Mytilus edulis: one gene and its partners. The main gene of each other region encodes a partner of the protein of the gene in region 2 in a complex. Links are inferred from orthologs where the notes say so. Each region holds a gene or a part of one and is shown on either strand. Other genes may lie near its edges. The genes, in order: GATOR1 complex protein NPRL2-like, protein SEC13 homolog and GATOR2 complex protein WDR59-like.

Evidence for each region.
Region 1: protein SEC13 homolog (region 2) and GATOR1 complex protein NPRL2-like share a complex: the UniProt entries of both Drosophila melanogaster proteins name them as parts of the GATOR complex. The link is inferred for Mytilus edulis from reciprocal best matches to the Drosophila melanogaster genes Sec13 and Nprl2.
Region 3: protein SEC13 homolog (region 2) and GATOR2 complex protein WDR59-like share a complex: the UniProt entries of both Drosophila melanogaster proteins name them as parts of the GATOR complex. The link is inferred for Mytilus edulis from reciprocal best matches to the Drosophila melanogaster genes Sec13 and Wdr59.

The regions. Positions count from the first base shown.
Region 1 is NC_092344.1:56,140,973-56,149,055, forward strand, and holds the start of GATOR1 complex protein NPRL2-like, read right to left. Parts: upstream 3,050-8,083; 5' UTR 2,948-3,049; coding exon 2,885-2,947; intron 1-2,884. UniProt on the Drosophila melanogaster protein: An essential component of the GATOR subcomplex GATOR1 which functions as an inhibitor of the amino acid-sensing branch of the TORC1 signaling pathway.
Region 2 is NC_092344.1:35,865,263-35,872,665, forward strand, and holds the start of protein SEC13 homolog, read right to left. Parts: upstream 3,009-7,403; 5' UTR 2,864-3,008; coding exon 2,861-2,863; intron 1,707-2,860; coding exon 1,662-1,706; intron 1,069-1,661; coding exon 953-1,068; intron 1-952. Other genes in the region: serine-enriched protein-like, read left to right, coding at 5,557-5,699, 6,077-6,276, 6,482-6,642, 6,891-6,941. UniProt on the Drosophila melanogaster protein: Functions as a component of the nuclear pore complex (NPC) and the COPII coat. At the endoplasmic reticulum, SEC13 is involved in the biogenesis of COPII-coated vesicles.
Region 3 is NC_092348.1:39,835,435-39,843,389, forward strand, and holds the start of GATOR2 complex protein WDR59-like, read right to left. Parts: upstream 3,064-7,955; 5' UTR 3,005-3,063; coding exon 2,954-3,004; intron 1-2,953. UniProt on the Drosophila melanogaster protein: A component of the GATOR complex, which functions as a regulator of the amino acid-sensing branch of the mTORC1 signaling pathway.

The DNA of each region.
Region 1 (8,083 bases), about 20 Mb from region 2:
AACTAGTGATGGCGTCCGTAAAATTTACGAAGGGATGATTTCAACTTCACCATTTGGAACTCTTGGTTTAATAGCTTCCTTGTGAGCAGTAACCCTCTATCAAGAAAATCATGATAGGAAATGCAAGCACAGGAATATCGTATCAATTGGGAGATATATACCCCATATGCAGGTGCTGCTGGAATGTTTAAATTAGTGAAAGTTGTTAAAAATTATTGTTTCAGACGAGAAGATTTTTGTAAAAGATAACAAAAATTTACGAAAAATTGTTAAAAATTGACTATACAGGGCAATAACTCCTAAAGGGGTCAACTGACCATTTTGGTTTTTAGATCTTACTTTGCTGAACATTATTGCTGTTTACAGTTTATCTCTATCTATAATAGTATTCAAGATAATAACCAAAAACAGAAAAATTTCTTTAAAAATTACCAATTCAGGGGCAGCAACCCAACAACCAGTTGTCTGATTCATCTGAAAATTTCAGGGCAGATAGATATTGACTTGATAAACAATTTAACTTTGTAAGATTTGATCTACTTGCTTTGGTTTCAGAGTTATAAGCCAAAAACTTCATTTTACCCGCATGTTCTATTTTTAGCCATGGTGGCCATCTTGGTTTGTTGGCCAGGTCACCACACACATTTTTTAAACTAGATACCCTAGTGATGATTGTGGCCAAGTTTGGCCTAGTAGTTTCAGAGGAGAAGATTTTTGTAAAAGTTAACAGCGATGGACGACGGACACCAAGTGATGGGAAAAGCTCACTTGGCCCTTTGGGCCAGGTTAGCTAAAAATAGAAAGCATACAGAAAAGAGGAGCACGTTTCATCCTGCACGATTATAAATCCAGACACCAGGTGCGTCACAAATATGCTTTCTAAGCCAAAACTACCACCTCTTCAAGAACGAAGGAAACATCAGAGGCTGACTATGTTCTACAAAGTGGTTGAGCGATTGATCCAACTTATTACCTGCAAAAGACAAGAAATAAACGCCAAGTCAAGGCAAAAAACTTTAGTGACTTTCAATACTCAAACATCGTGGAAAGACAAGAAACTAGAAATAGCAGTTCATACAAGTTAATAGACTGCAAAACAGACATTCGAAAGAACTCTTTTTTTCCAAAAACAATAGTAGAGTGGAACCATCTGGACGAGAAAACTGCATGTCAAAAAACAGTTGAGTGTTTCACGGCTGCCCTCCAACGGTTGGACTAACCAACCCGCTCTCCTTCTAGTGCGCATACATGTATATCCGCGATTGGATCCTGCACTGTGTAAAATACAGATACAGAAACAGATACAAGATGGCTAAGGTCCTAAATTTAAAGAAATTTTAATCCCGACATCCCAAAATTAGAAAAAAGAATTCTTGGATCCCGAAAGTATTAATGCCAGCTTAAAAACTTGTGAAAACACCCTGTCTCAGAGTCTCGATAAAGGTCCAACCCCCGCCCCCTCCTTTCTCTGAATAAACATCACAGGCACTTGTTTCTACTGTTCTATCCATGGGAAGGTCGACTGTGCATATATATGGATAGTCGACCTTCCCATGGATAGAAACAAGTGCCTGGATAGGCGACCTCCCCATGGATAGAAACAAGAGCCTGGATAGGCGACCATTAAGGTTCATCATAACCTTTTGGCTAAAATGGCCGTATTTACACCCCAAATTTTACTCTGAGTACAGACTAACCTATACACCTGCAACAGTTTTAAGGGATGGCAGGAACTAGATATATAAATTTTAAATGCATTTTATGTTTCAGAAAATTATAAACTTTTCTAGGTTTTGCTATCCATTTTTTTTCGTTCCTGCAGAAGGTGCAAAAATTAACTAAGTAGTGAAAACGATTGAGAAGCTCCCCTCATATAATCAATGTTGTGAGTAGTATTGATTTAAATGGACAATAGATGGACAATAGACACCTGTAAACAATAGGTTATTTAACAGGTTTAAACTGTGTAACTGAGTGGACCGTATCAAATGAAACTTGGGTGTTTGTTTATTTTGCTATCTTCTGCAGACTGGAAAAAAATGAACATCAAAATCCAGGTAAGTTTTTAATTTTCTGAAACGTAGACTTCATATTTTTATATATCTAGTTCCTGCCATGCCTTAAAACTTTCCTGGATGTACCAGTTTGTCTGTACTCAGAGAAAAATTTGGGGTGTAAATACGGCCATTTTAGCCAAAAGGTTATGATGAACATTAAGGTTCATCATAAGGAATTGAAAAATATGGCCGTGTTTACACCTCCAAAATTACTATGAGTACAGACAAACTGGTACATCCAGGAAAGTTTTAAGGCATGGCAGGAACTAGATATATAAAAGTTATATGAAATCTACGTTTCAGAAAATTAAAAACTTACCTGGATTTTGATGTTCATTTTTTTCCAGTCTGCAGAAGATAGCAAAATAAACAAACACCCGAGTTTCATTTGATACGGTCCACTCAGTTACACAGTTTAAACCTGTTAAATAACCTATTGTTTACAGGTGTCTATTGTCCATCTATTGTCCATTTAAATCAATACTACTCACAACATTGATTATATGAGGGGAGCTTCTCAATCGTTTTCACTACTTAGTTAATTTTTGCACCTTCTGCAGGAACGAAAAAAAATGGATAGCAAAATCTAGATAAGTTTATAATTTTCTGAAACATAAAATGCATTTAAAATTTATATATCTAGTTCCTGCCATCCCTTAAAACTGTTGCAGGTGTATAGGTTAGTCTGTACTCAGAGTAAAATTTGGGGTGTAAATACGGCCATTTTAGCCAAAAGGTTATGATGAACCTTAAAGCATCATGATACAAATTTTATGTGTATCTCACAATTTTCACAGGGCAAAGACATTTACAGTATGTGCATTTACTTGATATTTGATCTTAGGACCAGCAGTTGGATGGAATTCTGCAAGGCACATTCCCTTTATCATTGTTTCAAATTTAATCTGTAAATGCAGGGGAATATAAGTAAATACAAATGTAAATAAACTAAAAAGTTGTCTGCAAGAAGGGAGGTAATCGAAAAATATCAGCTGATTATTGAGGTTTTACCAAAATATGACCATCAATACCCGGGAACGGAACCAGATATGTCTGTAGTGGCCTGTCTGTATTGTCTGTATTGGTACATGTAGAATCCTATTTAGGCATTTTTTAAACATAACTTCTAATAAACTTAAGGTGACTCGGGCGTGCTCCTCCATCTATTATGTAGCAAGAAATCAAGTCCGATGTTGTATTTGTTTTCTCTTGATGTGAACATGTATACTGTACAGTGGCGGATCCAGAAATTGGCCCACTGACTGACCTAAGAGGGGGCCCGCTCCAGTCACGCTTCAGTGATTCCCTATATAAGCAACCAAATTTTTTCCCAAAAAGGGGGGGGGGGGCGGGCCCCCTGCCCCCCCCCCCCTAAATCCGCCTCTGCTGTATACTTTTTTTACTATTTAAAATTTTGGTTAAAACATATAGCAAATTTGAAATGATATTAAATTTATGTTTATCTAAAGAGAAAATGAAAATGATCCACAACAAAAATACAACCAAATTTGCATATAAAACTGTGACAATTCTGCTTCTATTTGCCGCAGGCTATGCCCCGAAAACGATATTTTCTTTCAAAGTCGATCTTCGCTTACATAGGATATCTCTGTTGGAATGAACGTAATTAAATGGCCATTGTTCTATATAAACTTGGTATCTGTTAAGTAATTTCTTCGTAGTTTCCGTTTATCGCTGGGTGCGCAATGACTCAGTCAGACGTAAAGCACGTTATTGCGTCAATACCGCGGTGTAATCAACCAGTCCACACTAATAAACAGCTTTTCACGCTGTAAAATCATAACAGTTAAGTTATATAAAATTGATAGCTATAGACTAGATAGGCATAAATCATGACTATTCCGGAAAAAAACTATAAATTGTTTTATCATAATTTTAGTCTAAAATGATGACAACATATTGACAAAACGTCAAAAATATGCGTGTCAGACGTAAACAGACTGTACGAATAATAACTTTAGCAGGTTTGTTTTGTGTTCTTCAAAACAGTGTTATATCCGCGAAAATTCGAATGAATCAGTGGCGGATCCAGAAATTTTCATAAGTGGGGGCCCACTGACTGACCTAAGAGGGGGCCCGCTCCAGTCACGCTTCAATGATTCCCTTTATAAGCAACCAATTTTTTTCCCAAAAAAGGGGGGGGGCCGGGCCCCCTGGGCCCCCCCTCTAAATCCGCCTCTGCAAGATGTCCAATGTCGGAATTCGCCGCTTTTTACAAATAAAGTGTCATTTAATTGCGACGTTATTTATTGAAACTTTAGAATCCTTGCATCCTAAATAGTGCTTTTCCGTAATTGAACTTTTTATTAACTCTACAAAACAGTCAGCTACATACTTTTTGATACTTTGCGCATTCAAAACGACTTCGTTTTCAAAGAAATTAAATGTCTTGCAATTTTGTCCACTGGACGATTTTTATACGTTTTCTACGTTGTCGATTCGAGACGCTATTCATGGTTGGAAATCATCTATTTACATTTCCTCAGATAAAATTTCATTGATAGTCAGATACTATAATTATCAACAATACCACAAAGTATAAAAAAAATCGATGACTGGGGTTGTTCGTTTAGATGAGGTTAAGTGGTGAAAAACTTACGAGAGAATAAACAATCATCTCTTTCAAATTTTCAAATTTGGGAAGCGTAAAACTGTGTCTTTTTTTTTTTTATTTCTCTGCAATACGATTCATATGTATAGAACTTGAAAGCCGAGAAAATAAAATTGGGCCTAAAGCGTGGCTATATACCTTTCCATATCAAACAAAGCTTGTAAAGTCATAAATGGACTTATATTTTTTTTACAGTTAACATGAAAATTCAGCCTGGGGTTGAAGTGTAAATATGATTAAGCCATTTCAAAAGGTAGAAGAACTTGATTCTTCATGTCCTTGGTCCACTTTTTAGTTTAATCAGTTTTCGTGCTCAAACTTAAAAATTTAAATGCAGGTTCTTTGGCGGCCTCATGCTTCAGATTTTACTGTTCTTTAAATTTTAATAAGTTAAAAAGAATTCCCTTGAGGGCAATTCATTGTTATCTGAGCAAATCAGTTACATATTTTTTTGCAATACTTTTGTCAGGTGAAAATATTTGGCTACACGGCTGGTTACTCAAGTGTGAAGTGAGTAGATTTGAGTGTATAAATTATCATGTGATCAACAGGTTTGAATTGGGCTTTATTTTAGTTTAAATTGATCTTTACTTGGACAAACTCCTGTGTTTTTCCTTAAAAATTTTGGGGACATCAGATGAGTTCAAAGTTATAGAAGATTTAAGGTATCATTTATTTATCATAAATTTCTTTAATGTGATCTGTTTTGTTTGATTTACTTCTAGATATGTTAAACATCTTCTTAATGTCTGTGCATGTCTATATATACAAGCTTTACTTGAGTTACAGCATAGAGCTTTTACTTTAACCATTTAAGATTCATGATTGATTGTTGGTTGCATAATTTCCAGTGGCAAATATAACAAAAAGAATAGAGCTCACATTCATGTATCTGTCTTGGGAACAATTAACAGTTTAACCAATCAAATTTGGGTAAAGTTTTTGAACTGGTTGGCAAAACTTACTGAAAACGTCTATGTTGAAAACCTTGTATTGTAGGGTCAATAGACTCAAAAATATTGAGTCTATGGGAGCAACATTGCTAAATCAAAAAATTTCCCAACAAAACTTTAGGGAAGGTATGGGTACAGTAAACACACATACTTTTTGGTTTGCAACATATTTTCTGGAATAATTTTAATATTAAATGTTTCTTTTCAGTACTTTGACACTACAAACTTAGTTATCTAAAAAATCTAAATTGGTATTCAGATGCATCTAGGAAAGCAAGACAGTATATCAACTTCATTTCACAAACATGTTGATTTTCTCTTGATACAGTAGACCAAGCCTTGAATACAGGTATAATCAAATAGTTTATTACAAAACTTAATCATTTTTTTTTTTACCATCCGGATTACTAGCAGGTTTATCTGATAATATATTGTACTATATGTATATTAACAATTAGATTGTTAGATTGTTTCTGTGATGATCTAAACTAAATATACCTAAAAAAAAAATTCATAAATGTCTGAGACCGAAAGCTTCTGGATTAGTTTTTTGATGATGAATTTCTCCCAAAATTCTTCTTGATAAACTTTTCTCAGATTTGACTACTATTATGATTTGGACATTAAAGTATACAACGGTATTCATCTTTGATAGACCTAGTGCTACAGTTTAATAGGTAAACAAATAATATGCACACAGGAATATCCATCCAGAATACAAAATCAGTACATAGACAGCATAAATAAACGAACAAAAGAAAGGAACAGTGCTTTTATTGCTGTTCTTCATCTTATACATAATCAATTTGCACAAAATTTATCATTTTCACTCAAAAGTTTGAATAAGTTTTAAAAAAAAATTAAATGTATGAAAATATACTTTTTGTTGCTATTGATATACAAGTCATTTATACAGACATACATTTTATCAATGAAATTTATCATTATAAGTTATAAATAAGGTAATATAAGTTAAGTACACTTTTTTAGCTCACCTGGCCTAAAAATGTGTCCAGTGACCTGGCCAACCAACCAAGATTTATAAAGAATGATAAATAATATAGAGTTTTAAGTTCCATTCTTTCATATTTATTAAAAAGAAATGATGTTTTAGAGGAGCCAACAACTGAGCAGAGAGCAGAAGAGAGATTGATGACCTTGAAGAGTAAGCAATGTGAACAGTAAGCCAGCTGTTAAGTATATCTGGGGTTACCAAATATTATGGTAAGAACCTCATCTATAATCAAACTTGGTGAGTATTCTTTTTATTGGTTAGATATTATGCATCATTATAAAAAAAAGGGGGATGTAGGGTATAAATCAACAAGGCAGCTACCCAATGAAAATAAATAACCAAAGACATCTACAGGTCTTCAACTATAGACTGATGTTTATACAATACATGAACTTGTAAATCATCCAAAGTCTAAAAGATTTGTGAATAAAATGAACAGACTAACAAATAACTTACATACACACCAATATCTGACCTAAGCACATGAGCATGTTGCAGGGTGAAACTTTTTTATATAAAGCCCACCCTTTTTGTGCAATGCCTAACCAAACTACAAAATTTCATACAAAACACTTTTCAAATTGAAGGGTTTCAAATTTTGAATAAGCTAATTTGTTCTTTTTAAAAAAAAAAATGCCAGATGCAATTAACAAACAAAAAATTATTTGGAAATCTTGACTCCCCCGCACGAGAAAAATGTCACTCTTATTATTTAGGAAATGGTCACTACCTCGATAGTCTTTAAAATTAATTCAGTTGCTCTGGTCATTTTTCAAAATTTAACAAGTGAATGAAGTTGTTTTGATGAAGCTTACCTTTAATCAATTGGAGATAACTGTGACCACATGGATCATAATTCTGAAAACTTATCCTGAAATCCTGGGCTTAAAAACTCGAAATCCTGAGGTCCTGAATTTAAATAAATTTAAATCCCAACATACCGAATTTCGAAAAAAGAATTCCTGGGTGTTGAAAGGGTCAATCCCGAGATCCTGAGCTTGAAAACACTCAACCCCGGAGTCCCGATAAAGGTCCTATCTACCCTCATATCTATAATTGTCAACTAAGATAAAAGAAATACAGAAATTGTTTACATTAAATTGCCTTTTGCCATGTGCTTTCATCAACAAAAGATTTTTTTTTCTATTTTCCAAAATAAATTCCAAGGCTACGATGTAGGATGCCATAATCTTCTAACAAAATACCACAGCATGGAGACCCAAATCAGCACACTAAAATGTCCAATGTGTGTCCTACATCTTGAAATAAATATCATTTTATAAATGTTCAAATATCTTCAAAAACATTTTTTTTTACTCATTTCTACTCTGTTGAGACTATTTCACTAGCACTGCACTTTGACTTTGACTAATACAAACAGAATGTTTATTGAAGTTGAATGGCCTTAGTGATGACTTGGTTGAGG
Region 2 (7,403 bases):
TGCAATTTCCTGCATTCTGACAGTATCTGCAGTCTTATTCAGATATTTTTGCAACAAAGATTATAACCTAAAATTTGCATGATTTTACAAAAAGTTGAGTTAAAGTTTGGAATAAGTCAAAACATGCAAATATTAAAAATTTCATTAATTATTTAATCTTGTACTGTTGTACAACACATTAAAAATACAAAACCTCAAAATAATAATTTCAATAGGGACAAGATTTCAATACTTATGACAAGAAATTTAATTGCCATTGAATGAATATAAATATTAGCAAGTTACTTTCAATACAAAGTTGCCAACAGATTAAGGGTTTAACAAGGTACTATTGTAGATCATATTCAATTCATAGTTCAGAGTTCGCAGGATCTTTGTTCAGTTCGTTTTTTTCTAACACAAGAAAAAACTTTTCACAATGTGCGATACTGTGGTGAATTTTCATAATTCCAAACGCTGGCATCCTGATTCATGCCGTCCATGAAATATACTTGATCGCTATCATTTTTGCCCTTTAAAGAGCGGTTATTCCCAGTCAAAAAAGTGCCTTTCAGACACTGATCGCCGTAAACGAAAGCAACTATGATTTTTTCACCGATTGTTAGAAAATCTGTACTTTTTCATGACGAATCCGTATTGAGTAATTTTATTAAAAAATCTGTGTAAAATATTGACAATCCATACACGTAAACACCTTTGTTTTTGCTCCTAGAATTTAGATTTAAAAAAGGAGTTAATTTCTTAATTTTGGAGATTTATATTCAAAAAGGAGGGTACCCCAAAGAAAAGGAGCAACTGTATCCTCATTTGGCTTCAAATGGATAATTGTTTCATTGCAGTGGCAAACATACCACATCTCTTTATTTTTATCTTATTAATACACACTCAAATAAAAAACACCTACATGTATGAACTAAAAATGTATATTCATGTGATATGTATGTATTCTTACCCTTGTAATTCATTTATAAGTGTCTGTTGGCCATCTTTAACATCAAATATTTTAATGGTTTTGTCTGATGAGCAGGTAGCTAGTTTTGTTCCATAGTAGTCAAGCTGAGCATCATGCTGAAATAAATAATTGTTTTCTACAATAATTTAACATAATTTGAATGATAAAGAAGTTATTTACTAGTATATTACATGTATACTAAAGAGTTCCAGAATTTGATGCTAGACGAGGGCCCTATGCATTCATTATTTAATAGAAGACCATAATTTAACAGCGATTACATTTGTTTTGTGTTAAGCCCTTTCTAGAAGACCTTGCAACTTTGATGATGTGCTCAAATCTGAAATATTTCTAGTTTGACATATTAGCTGAATTATATATGTTTATTTTTTAAGGTACATTGTATCACAATAAATACACTGCTAGTACCAGTAAATATATTTTGGTTGTCAGTATTTTGCTCGAGTTAACATGGTTAATTTTAAATTGTTTTGACTACATGTACAATTGCGTCAAAAGTTAAAGCGGCTGGGTCAGCCGGGATAAGTGCTAAGGTGTATTGCAGTGCTCACATGATAAGTTAGTAAACTTTGTTTGACAAGTGTCTTTATTCATTTTCTGCATTTATCATGTTTATGTAAATGCATTAAAAAAAACCTAGCATTTCTGATCCAATGACATGTTCTTAAAATTTTGTATTATTACTTACAATCATATCTTCATGAGCTGTATCTATAGAATTGATGACGGAAACCTGAAATAGTTAAAACAAATTATGATTATCTTAGCAAACAAGTTATATAAAAAAGAAGATGTGGTATGATTGCCAATGAGACAACTATCCACAAAAGACCAAAATGACACAGACATTAACAACTATAGGTCACCGTACGGCCTTCAACAATGAGCAAAGCCCATACCCCATAGTCGGCTATAAAAGGCCGGTATCGGGACCGTTCGCCCTAGGTCCGTTCGTTCGCCCAGAGTCTGTTCGCCCTACTATAAAAATATTAATATTCAGGGCATTGGAAATTGAATAAACTTATTCAGATATTTCTATGGTATATATATCATGTATATTCTTGAAATTTATGGAAACATTGAAATATTTAAAAGTTTATGGCTTGTTTTTGATCATTAATTGTTCAATTACAAAATAATACGGATAACTGATTATTGTGAACCTTGTCTTCTGATGGATTAATAATAAAAACAAACGTTTTATTTTGATAAAATATTCAGCTTGAAATTAATAAAACTAATGATGTACGAACTGTAAATTATGAAACGGATTTACAAGACTAGTTCATTTATTTATACTGCATACTTTCGTGATTGACTGATTACAATTATTTTGTTAACAAATATCAATAAAGATAAATACATTGTATTCCAGTATTCTACTCTGCAAATCAAAGGGAAAATGATAAATTGATTGCTGCAATATAAATATTCTGTCAATTTTTCAACAAACTTTAACATAATTTGTTCAAACACTTAAAATAATGCGACTAGACAACAATTAGAAAAAAATAATAATCAGGGCGAATGGACCCTGAGCGAACAGGTATCAGGGCGAACAGGTTCTCGGACGAACATGAATCAGGGCGAACGGACCCGGATTCTAAAAGGCCCCGATAAGACAATGTAAAACAATTCTACGAGAAAACTAACGTCCAGTAGTCATTGAGTAGACTTGTAATTGAGAATGAAAAAGTGTCTCACTGTTGTTATATCATAAACGAATTAACTAAAACACAATTGATGATACTAAAAAATACTATATTTAAATTATATATAAAGACTTATAAGTTCCCGGTCTCATAACACTAAACACTAACAGATATATTTTGTGTTAGTCTTTGTATACAAGCAGTATAGTTAGCAATATTTTCACCTGTAACCTACCATTGTGGGTTTGTCCTGAAGTAAAGTATTAGCGTGTTTTGTCTATTTTAAATGCCTCAGAATGTGCCAGGCTTAAGTTTACATGTCAACACGAACGTGGCAAAATTTACTTCCGGTAAAACTGCAAAGTTATCCCCCCTTCAACCGATGGGTGAACCTTTTTCAACAGTGGCGTATTCCGGATAAAATTCATAGCATGTTTTTAAATAAATAAGTCCTCGGGTCATTATTTTCTATTTCTGCCCATTTATCTATTTCTTTTTCTGCCCATTTATCTATTTCTTTTTAACTTATTGTGCAAACAAAAAATGTCAGCAAAAAACTGTTAAGGGAGATAACGCCATCATCGGTATTTATTTCTTCATAGCTATACAATTTTCTCATACTTTAGTTTAGGAACCAAAAAATATATTTTACCATTTTTTTTCTCTTAAAAAATAAAATAAGAGTATGGTTCATCAGGTATTGAGAAAGTCCCTGGGTGAACCATGCTATTTTTCATTCTGCAATTAAGTCGAGCAATATTGGATAATTATATCAAGGATTTGTATATCCAGAGACATATATATATGTCTCTGGTATATCTATAGTAACTATACAAATCTTTGATTATATGCATTCTTCATCAATGATGACATAAATCTTTGATGCGAATGAAAAAAAATATAAGACAGAATTTTGAAATAAAATATGAGAAAATGTTTTTTTTTTTATAGTATTTAGACCGATGAACCACCTTTTACTTCATCTTTATCCAGGTATAAGAATACTGCCCATTTCTACATAAATCAATTATGAATTTAAATATGTACTCCATTTATAGAATTAGGACAAAATTTAGAGAATGTAATGTAGATTTATACACTAATTTAGATAATGTGTTGCATAAAAATGTTATTTAATTACATAGTTAGAAGATTTTTTATTTGAAAATTAAGATAAATTGGCATAATAGAATATTGTCACAAAATGTTGGAAAAAAATTACGCACTTATAAATTGTTTAAAAATGTTTTTGAAACAGAGATGTATTTGAGGAAGAACATTTCAATACGATACAGAAGTGCAATTTCTAAATGTAGGTGTGGCGTTGCCCCCATTGCGAATAGTAACAGGTGGCTATGAAAATAAAACTGTAAATGAAAGAGTTTTCTTTGTGTGCAATGATAAAATTGAAGATGAGAAACATGTGCTTTATATGCAGATTTACATGAAATTTTAGTTTATGAAGTTAAAAGAAGTAATGGTGATTTTAATATTTAATCTGATGGTGATATATATCTTTTTAAAAATACTGATTGTTTTGATGTGGTTGCCAAGACCTGCTTTAACAATTCTGAGACTACTATAATGTTATAGTAGTCTCAGAACAATTTAAGTAGAAAAAATAGTTTTTTATATGCTTGGTGCTTGATTGATGCATGGTTATGTTTTTATAAACTTGAAATTTTTTATAGACATGCTAATTGTAGTTGTATGGTTTTACATAACAAAAATGTTTTTATAGACATGATAAATATATAATTATAATTTATATTGATTTCTATAGTCTCTCATAATTCTTTATAGAATGGCACTTGTATTTTAATTTATAAAATTTTTGTCTTATTCAATGTATATATTATGATGATTGTATTATATGTCTTACAAGTGGTGAGACTCAAATAAAATATTGAATCTGAATCTGAATCCATTTACGCGTTTAGTGAAAAACAAAAAAAGTTATAATTGCTCTAATGAGGTGTTGGGTAATTAACGATAGAATAATCATAAAATGACATTCTGATCACTCCAAGCCAAAAGACAGCTCGTCAACTTGTCAACGGAAATCTACCGTTTAGTTAAATTGTAAGAAAAAGATCATGTCCACGTCAACAATATTTATGAAACTGACAGACCAATTTTCGGAATGTCACAACTTTGGAACTTTGGGATTTTAAAATTTCTTAATCAGAAATGAGCGTATAAATATCCCAAGCCTAGGTTTCAAATCATTTAAACAACCAAAGCTTACAAGACATACATGATGGCATTGTTTACTAGTTCAACTAAATGTCAAACTATGGTAGAGGAAAAAGCCAATTTATTATCCCAAGATAGTGAAAATGAAGGTAAGTGTGTTATAATTTGTATTTTCACAATTTAAAATATCTGTTAAACGTTCGTCGAGTCTTTGAACATTCTAATCGTAAAGCTAGTGTTAATAAGAAAACTTGAAAAACATATATTAAAGTAAATTCTTCATAGAAAAACTATCACCATTACTGAAAGTCTTTTTCTTCTCGTTTTGTATTTTCATGTCTAAAAAGTTATTCATATACAGGAAATTATATCTTGATATTTTCAATTTCTGTGTCATTTGGTCCCTTGTGGAGAATTGTCACATTGGCAATCATGTACCACATCTTCTTTTTTTTTATATTAAAAACAAGCAGTAGTTAACCAAAAACAACTGTTTTGAAACACTCTTGGAATATCTTTAAAATTTTTAATCATTTTGTATTTTTAGACTTTTCATCTGGATATGATTCACCAGAGTACTTCTCTGATCAAGATACAAAAAGAAACTGCTCCAACAGATTACAAATAGTCCCATTATCTGATAAATCGGACATTTCATCTGCTGAATCGATTCCGTTTAATGATTACTCATATGAGGATGACGACATACATAATGATAACGATATTGCCGATTCGATGAAAGTAACCAATGTGCATACATTGATCGATAACATTCGATATATTTTATCGATGCCAGATTTATGCGATGTTATGTTTATCGTAGGCCCACAAAGAGTTCCCGTCTATGGACTGAAGGCTATTTTAAGCACACGAAGCAGGTAATTGTCTAAATTAATAGATGTTGATCTCCAATACATTTGTACATATGTAAATAGTTTATATGCATTTTCTCAATACAGTCTCAAATTTGGACGAATTATATCATATCGGTTTTTTGGTTTTTTTTTTTAAATTGTCCAAGAAATATAACAGGTCATTATGATAATGAATTGAGTGCGTCTTTGATTTTAGGTAATTTTAAATGCCATCTGTTTTATAGAAAGTTGAAAGAAAAACAACGAGTTTCGCTTGAAGTGAGTCTTCTAAACAATGGAATATATTCTAAACCGAACTACTTTGCAGCTATAATAAACCATGTATTCTTAGTATAATAGTTTTCTGGGAATAAATTTTAAATCTTAATTTCCATTTCTAGGTTATTTTTCGTTATGTTTTTGAAATACTCAAAAGAAGCATTGAAACAGAGAAAGAAAACGAAGATAACGACGCACATCCAACCAGACCAGAGCAACAAATTGACTATGACTATAGATAATTATGATGCTGATATATTCCGTACATTTTTGTTGTTTGTCCATTGTGGAACAGTAGAAATAGAGCCATCAACAGTTACTGGTAAGCATAAGTTGTGAACTCGCTATAAACATCGATCGATTGATAGAAGAAAGGGGGAGGCTTTTCTCAAATAAAGTGTAAAGTGTTTTCCTTTTTTTCACACTTTTTTTTTTGTATCAAGACAAAAATTAAACAGTTCTAACTAGTAATCTGAAATAACATTAAAAATGTTTTGAAATGCTAATCGCTACTGATCTCATTTTAGGGCTACTTTGTTTGGCTACGGAGTTTGATATTCCCGACCTGCGGAATTCATGCTGGGAATTCATAGACCGATGCCTGTCAGTGCAATCTTTTTCTACCGTATTGATGAAAGAAACGATCTTTTATGGCGACCACAAAGCTGCACAGAAACTTAGGATTAAGGTAAAATTTAAATTTTATTGTAAAAACTTATGATTGATTCTGTGTAATGTAAGTGCATGTAGGGGGAAAAAAGGGGGGGGGGAGGTAAAGAAAAAAAGAAAAACATTTTAGTAATTAATGGATGCATATAAGTGTATCGGTTAAAGATAAAAAGAAACTGAAAAAAAACCAAAAAAAACAGTCTAAGTATCAAGCATTCTCCAACAATATTTACAAGCCATTTTCACGTGTTTTTGTTTTTTTTTCAGATTTTGAGAACTGCAACAAAGGCATCGTTAACATCTTCATCTGTTTTTTAAGAGATTGAATTCCCGTAGCACTGAACAAGATCGCGGTACCAGCAAAGAGACATAAGTTTGAATTTATAGAATTATCAATTTTAGTGCTATACTTTGCATTCTAGTATGAATTATACAGATAACTATATATGATTGAAAATACAACTATAGAAATGTTTATACATGATGTATTCATAGTGCTTATAAAAATAAACGTTTACTGCTTTTGATTTCTTTATAGTTGCCAATGGCCTGAACTACTTTATTGAACTCCTTTATTGTTGTACTTTTCGCCGTGCCTGACTCGCATTGTTGGCATATCAAATTTGTCGTGAAACTTACGCATTAGAAACATAATTTTGCTAAATTTCAGTAGCATTGCTAATCTAATTTCGTTTTCCAGAAATTCATGTTTTCGGTGTACGAATACGTCCATCGCAAACAAACAAAAATTGATAAAACATCCGGGGTTGTTACTATTTC
Region 3 (7,955 bases), on a different chromosome or scaffold from region 2:
AAATTATCATTAGCATTTGCTGAAACTTAGTTGAATAACTCTTTAAATCAATCGTCTATCTTCAGAAAGTGTTCTGTAAGGTTTGTTGATCTACATTTGTACCTGTACAAGCTCAGGTACATGTACATGTACAAGTGATTAGCAATCTTAATCAACCACAAATGGAAGTTTTTAACGACCTTGACTGGCTATATAGCCGTTGCACAGTCGGTCGATATTAATCCAGATATCCCTCAGGCACAAGAACTGTATTGGATTATAATACAAAAAGCTTAAGGGTTATGCAATTACATGCATTTGCTTATAATTGCTAAAAAAAAATGGTGCAAGGTGAAATAAATTTGAACGATGGCGCATGTCTATGACAATGGCAGAAGATATTTGAATGATGATGGGGCGCCATCATTAAACAGGTCATGGAGATCCCTGGTTAACTATATTGATCTGTGTTTTTTTGTTGTTGTGTTGGTAATAAGCATTATGTACAAGTTTCATAAGGGAAACTAAAGTTAACCTGCTACATTTTAGTGGCGTAGCTAGACAAATGTTGAAGGTGAAGCCCAAATCGGCAGGGGGTCTGGGGGCCGCTCAAGGCCACCAGTGGGTCCAGGGCAAAGCCCTGGTAGGGGGCAGGGGGCGAAGCCCCTAGAAGCTCCAGGTTTTTAGGATTTTACACCCACAAATATTAACTGAAAATATTGAATGTTAAGGTGTAGTCAAAAGCATTTTTGTTTGATACAAGTCAGATAATTTTGTGAAAAAATATATATTGTTCCTCAAAGAAACTGTAAAAACCAGGAGATTCCAGTGGGATAAAAAGGTTATATTTGCTAAGACCAGTGTCTCGCCTACTTTAAGAATCTAATAAATGTTTTAAGAACTTTAACTGCAGACTGTATGTAACTGGATGAAAAACTTAAGTCCATATATAAGTAATATACGGAAAAACAGGAAATATATTTTTTTTAAATTTCCTTCTAGATACTAGCTTTTGATCATAATCAAGCTTCTGTCCAAGTTTGGTAGAAATCCAGGGTTGTTTACTTTAAGAAAGTTATTAAAATTTCAAAAACTTTAACCACACAGTGAATATTTCTGGACGCCGCCGCCGACGACGGAATGTAAAGATCGCTATGTCTCGCGTTTGTGACAAAAGTCGCAGGCTCGACAAAAACCACACCATTAAAATTTGTTTGGTGATGAGATGTAAACAATATATTCAGGTTAATATAATGGGTACCCAGGTTAGGGCAGGATGGTGCCTTCAAATTAGTTTAGCCCCGCCACATTCGGTATGTGCCTGTCCCAAGTCAGGAGCATGTAATTCAGTGTAATGGTTGTCGTTTGTTACTGTATCATATTTGTTTTTCTTTCATTATTTTGTACATAAATCAGGCCATTAGTTTTCTTCTTTGAATTGTTTGTGTGGATATGAATTATTAAAAGAGTCAAAGCAGGGACTTTCTATAAGGCCAATTAAAATTAATTGGTAGATTTTCATCCCCGCCCGCCCCTCTGAAATCGTCCCGCCCCGATTTTTGTTATTTTGAAAATTTTTCGATTTCTGGATTTGTTCATCTCCGTTTCCAGTAACCATCAAAATTTGTGTTTCCTTCCAAACTTCCTGTTTCAAATTTGGAAATAAAAATTTAAAAAAAAAATCCTCCCACCCGCCCCATTTTTTTCAAAAATTTGGATGAAAATCTACTAATTAATTTTAGTTGGCCTAATAACTAGTATAGACTGTCCCTGGTCAGAGTCAATCTCTTTCACCAACAAAAAAGCAAGCCTAATGTCAATTACTTTATCAATGGACGTCTCCTTGTACGCGTGAAGGATACATCTATAGCCCCGAAAATTGTTCGGTTGTCATCGTATAAGGGAGCTGTCATTTGATTTTTATGGGGGGCTAGGATGAAAAATTTTGTCCTGCATATTTTTTTAGTTGTAATCTCTGTCCTGCCTTTTTATTTTTCACTCTATTCGGTCCTGCTTTTCTTTTTTAGTTTATCCTGACTTTTTTTACATAAATTGTCATTTTTTTGCAAGTGTCTCATCCTGCCCTTTTTTTTACTCAAAACTCCTGTCCTGCCTATTTTTTTCAAATTTCATCCTAGCCCCCCCCCCCCAATAAAAATTCAAATGGTAGCTCCCTAATGCAGATACGTTTTAACCCGGCACATGACACTGAAACTGCGTTGATTCAGCGGTGGAATTGGTCACAGGCATTGTCAATTCTGCGTTGCATTGTAAATAGCAGAACACCCTGCAGACACAATATTCGTCTGCTATAAAAAGAGGGGAAATAGAGCGCTGGTAATGGGAACGAATGCCGAGAGTCTGAGAAGTGATATCGACTCGTTGACTTCTACAACTTTTTGTTTATTTAACCGCACAGTGCCCATTTATTTTTCCCTTCACTTTCTCTCACTCGGAATCTCCTCCCTCTCTCTCATACAATGTACCTCTACCTCGTTTTTTTTTTTTAATTTTTTATTATGATTTTTTGTTTTTGACAAACAATGTTGAAGCCTTGGCTTCCGAGCTTCCGCCTAGCTATGCCACTGATTTTGCATGGGCCTGTATCAAGAGCCTGTAAATCAGTGGTTGTCATTTTTTGGTGTATTAGTGTATATCGTATTTTTTATTGTTCTGTATTTTTATATTATCCGGCCATTATTGGCATTTTTTCTCATTGGAATTGTTTTATGTTTGTCAGTTTTATAGCAGATTGCAGGGTTTACTCATTGTTGAAGGCCGAAGGGTGACCCTTTTTGTTGATTTCTATGCCAACCCTAAAATTATTTCCCTTTTCTTGCTTTTGACTGTTTTCAGGGAAGACTTTTGAGGGCTGACAGTTTAAATTTTAACCTTTTCTCTTGACGAATATTATACATCGTACCCTAGTGGATCATATGACAGGTCCCTTGAACTTATCTTTCACTTAATTTACCTGCAAATCCCCATATTCTGCAACTGATTGTTCGCCACTCCATTGTGACATTTTCACGGATCTCCATCAGTACGGCGATAGACACGAAGGGAATCGGTATTTTAAACAGTCTTCACTCGCCACATTATCTTTCGGTCCATGCTATTGTACGAACAAAAAAATCCTTTTTGATCATTGATGGTTTCACATACGGCCTACACTAAATAAAACAACGATTACTAATTGTTATAATTTTTCAACTCGATAAACTTAATTGTGGTCTTATACGTGTACATTAATTGGTCAAGACTAAGCTGGTCAGACTGAACAATTTAGTGTAGTCAATATTTTGACCACTATAAGAACTCATTCTTCGTTAAGATTTTGTTTATTCTTACTTACAGGGAAAACAAATTATAGATGTATAAAGCCAAGTCAGTCACAAGATTCAAAGGCAACACCATCAACAAGTGCTCTTTGGCTCACGTCAAGTCAGTAAACTAAGCATACTTGTTAAATTCGACGTACATATATGACATATAGACACAGAAAGATTTAGTTGATGTGACTTTTGAAGTATGGAATAGTGCTTTGTAAGAATGGCCAATGTTTTTTTGGGTTCAAACGTATATATAGCGCCTCGGATATTTGGAGGGGTATGTGTTACCTCATGCTTTTTTGAGCAGCAGTATCATGGTTACATTTCCAGTTGACATCGAGATAACCCCGGTTTCAGTTTGCTATGTTAGGTCAAGTTTGTATACTTTATAAGTATTTTTAATATATTTTTGCCATGGCATTGTCAGTTTTTTCGAATATCACTTTGGTACATGTATTTTTTGCTTCTCTTTTGGACGTCCATTTGGCTGAGTGGGATGTTTAAGTACGCACCCACGTGCACGTCCAGTCATAATGGGGATGTTAAATCCGATGCCACGTATAGAGAGAGTGTCACGTTGGCTATACGTTAAGAACTTTTGCAACAACATTTTGCGGGATCTGTATATGGCATATTGCAAGCCGGTTAAATATCAGTCCCTATCCGATATATTTTTTGTTTTTTGTGCTATTAAACTGTATGTGCCTGTCCCAAGTGAGGAGCCTCTGGCTTCGTTAGTTGTGCATGTTTTATTAATTTTTGTTTCGATTATGTTTCAGAGTTTATTGTATTTCCGCTGAACTAGTACACATTTTTGTTTAGGAGTCAGCTGAAACCCGCCTCTGGGTGCGGGCTTTCCCACTGTGTTAAAGAACCATTGGTAGCTTTGGGCTGCTTTCTGCTTTTTGGTTTGAATGCTGTCTGGTTGACACATTTCTCGCTTTAATTTTCAATTTTATGGATATATTTTCTCAAAAATAATTGATAGGTTTTATGATTTTGAACTTATAGTCTTGTGGATAATTTTCATGCATAATCAGATCGAGAGGAAAAAAACAACGAATGCAATATGTAGCTGTACATAGTGCGCCAACTGTATGGGGTTCGTGTTGTTTATTCTTTAGTTTTCTATGTTGTGTCGCGTGTACTATTGTTTGTCTGTTTGTCATTTTCATTTTTAGCCATGGCGTTGTCAGTTTATTCTACATTTATGAGTTTGACTGTCCCTCTGGTATCTTTCGTCCCTCTTTTATGAAAGGCAGGATAAAGACTATCGCTATAGAACAAAGATATATCAGATATGGACATAAACTATGCTATGCACCAGACCATCTACGACCCTCAAATAGTTACATGGGTTCTTAGCGTAATTATGAGTAAACATCCCCATTACAACCGAACGTCACGGTCTGAGTATTTATACACAACTGACAGCCAAACGGACAGCTTCTCGAGTATGTATAATTATATTATTGGTTTGCAAAGTTTTTGAAGTTAAGCGTTCCATAAAAGCACAATTTAGTCAACATTGAGTATAAAGTAAAATAGCAAAAATACCGAACTCCAAAACAAATTCAAAATGTAAAGTCCTTATTCAAATGGCAAAATCAATTATTGGCGCAAACGAAACATGGTTTGTGGCGAAATAAAATTAACGGTACCAATTTTCTTGCACCAGATGCGCATTTCGACAATACATGTCTCTTCAGTGATGCTCGTGGCCAGAATATTTGAAATCCAAAAGCTTATATAGAGGATGAAGAGCTATAATCCAAAAGGTCCAAAAAGTATAGCCCAAATCCGTGAAAGGAATCGGAGCTTTGCATGAGGGAGATACATTCCTTAATTTATAATAATTTCTATCATTTTGTAACAGCAAATTTTAATAGCACAATAAATCCGTATTTTCATGCCAGTACCGATCGAAGTACTGGCTACTGGCTACTGGGCTGGTGATACCCTCGGGGACTAATAGAAAACTGATGATGAAACGTTTTATTTAAGCGCAAACGAAACTTAGTTTGTGGCACAAATAAAAAAATTGTTGGCTTATATGAAATGCCAATCGTCCAACAGGAAAGCACCGATGTAAACAAAACAAACATACAGAAAATGTAAAAATGTTTTTAAAAAAGGGGGGTACATTGTGTTATAATCAGTCTATATTATTATCGAAACAAAAACAAAGATGAATGTCAACAAAAAAAGGCACATAGACAAAGCGCATTAGTAAAACTAATGACAAGAATACAAAATATTATCATAACACATTAACAGGATGCATAAGTACCGAGCCACGTCAAATGAATATTACAAAAAAAAAAGACTAAACAGAAAAAGTAATAATGTTCAATTCGTTAAATAAAAGTATTTTCTCAATATACTGCCGACATTTACCCACAGGAACTTAATAAAAGCATGGAAGTATTATATTGACAGGAACTCCGACAAAAAATCAGCACATTCGCACCCCGCTGATTTCAATAAAATACTTCCATGCTTAAAGTAAATCAAATTTAAACGTTAATAACGTTTCTTACAAGCTTTAGATATTTCGGTTTTAAACGGGAAACTCAACACTAAAATTTACGACAAGAGGGAAGATTTTTCGTTCCCTATTGTTAATTTTTTCTTTTTGGATGGTGATGTTCCTTTGGCGACATCTTGCGGTGTTTAGATTTCACAACTCGTTCACTATGCCCGTGTCTGTTATGACGTTTTTGATTTTAACGAACGTAATCTTTGCAGTACTGGTAAATTATTAAGCCAGGGATTTCGTTTCCACAAATTACTTACAACCTTTACTAAATTCTTCCATAGATATAAACATTTGGTTTTTAAGTTTGATTGTTCCTACAGAAAACTTAAATCAAACGAGGTAGCACATCGATCGTCATTTTGACGGAAATGTTGTTTACCGTGTCTGGAAATTTAGAAACAATCCTGGTAAACTTATCGATTCATTTAATAAACTTATTCTAAAAAGTTACCAATTCAACACTGTAATTAGATCATTGAATATTGTTTTTATTGGTATTAATATTGATTTTGTTATCAGTAAATTAAAAGCAAACTACATATTATTGTTTTATATATATATATATATATATTTACAAATTCATTGATCTACAATCTGTCGATACCTGTAGCTTTCCATTGCACAAGGTCGTGTTTTGCTCTAACTGTTTAAGAAGTCTTTACACTAAACCCATTGGATGTTGGATTTGTACTGATTAATAATTAAGTCTTATATGCATGATTTTTTATTAAATGTTAGTGGCTTTGAACTAGCTGTCAGTAGCTGAGAGTACTCTCAGATATGTACTTAGTGGGTTTTTTTTGTTGTTGTTGGGATGTATAAGTACCCGGCCACGTCCACTTGTATTTTTATCCATCTAATGAGTCCTGCCTTTTTCAACTAATTTTTATAGTGCGTTCTCATGTTGTACTGTTACACCACTGTCCCAGGTAAGGGGGAGGGTTAGGATCCCGGTAGCAGTGACATAGAGTTGTTAATTGCTGTGGCATTTGGACTCTTGTGGAGAGTTGTCTCATTGACAATCATACCACATCTTCTTTTTTATATTAGCAGCAGTACCTAGAATCTATACTTCTTGACCATCGTTTATGTTTGCGAAGTTGCAACGGAATATTTATCAACAAGGTTTTGGTATTCCGATGAACAGGTTTTATAAAAAAAAAAAAAAGGACGAGACATACCCCTGGTTTACAATTTTCTGCTCAGACACTACATGGTGACGTATAACAAAGTCTGAGTCGTAGCTGCGAGCTCATGAGTACCGTGCTAATGCGGCGTAAACCAACCAATAATCAATCAATCAAGAGTACCGAATGAGTCAGGGGAAAATAAAATTGAGAATGGAAATAGGGAATGTGTCAAAGAGACAACAACCCGACCATTAAGCAGACAACAGCCGAAGGCCACCAATGGGTCTTCAATGTAGCGAGAAACTCTTGCAACCGGACGCGTCCTTTAGCTGGCCCCTAAACAACTATGTATACTAGTTCAGTGATAATGCACGTCATACTAAACTCCGAATTGTACACAAGAAACTAAAATTAAAAATCATACAAGACGTGACAAAGGCCAGAGTCTCCGGACTTGGGACAGGCGCAAAAATCGCGGCGTTTTTTTTCAGATCTCAACCCTCCCCTATACATCTAGCCAATGTAGAAAAAGCAAACGCACAACAATACGCACAGTTTAAGAGAAGTCCGAATCCGATGTCAGAATATGAAACAAAAGAAAATAAACAAAATGACAATAATACAGAAATAACAACAGACTACTAGTAGTTACTGACATGCCAGCTTCAAACCTCAATTAAACTGATTGAAAGATTGTGTCATCATATGAAGTGTATCCAATACACAAGTGAAGCTGGTATATTGCTACTAAGGGCAAGGAAATTGATAATTTAGGTATCAAGTCTACAAAATCGGGCCGAAAGATACCAGAGGGACATCCAAACTCATAACTACATATGAGGCATTATAGAACCATTGTAACAATTCTGAGGGGTCATTATGAGGCCTTTTAAATGATTTGTATGCAATAAAACCCGTTTTTCGGTATTCTAGAGCTTGCAACTGCTACTCAGACAGTGTCTTAATAAAAAGTTG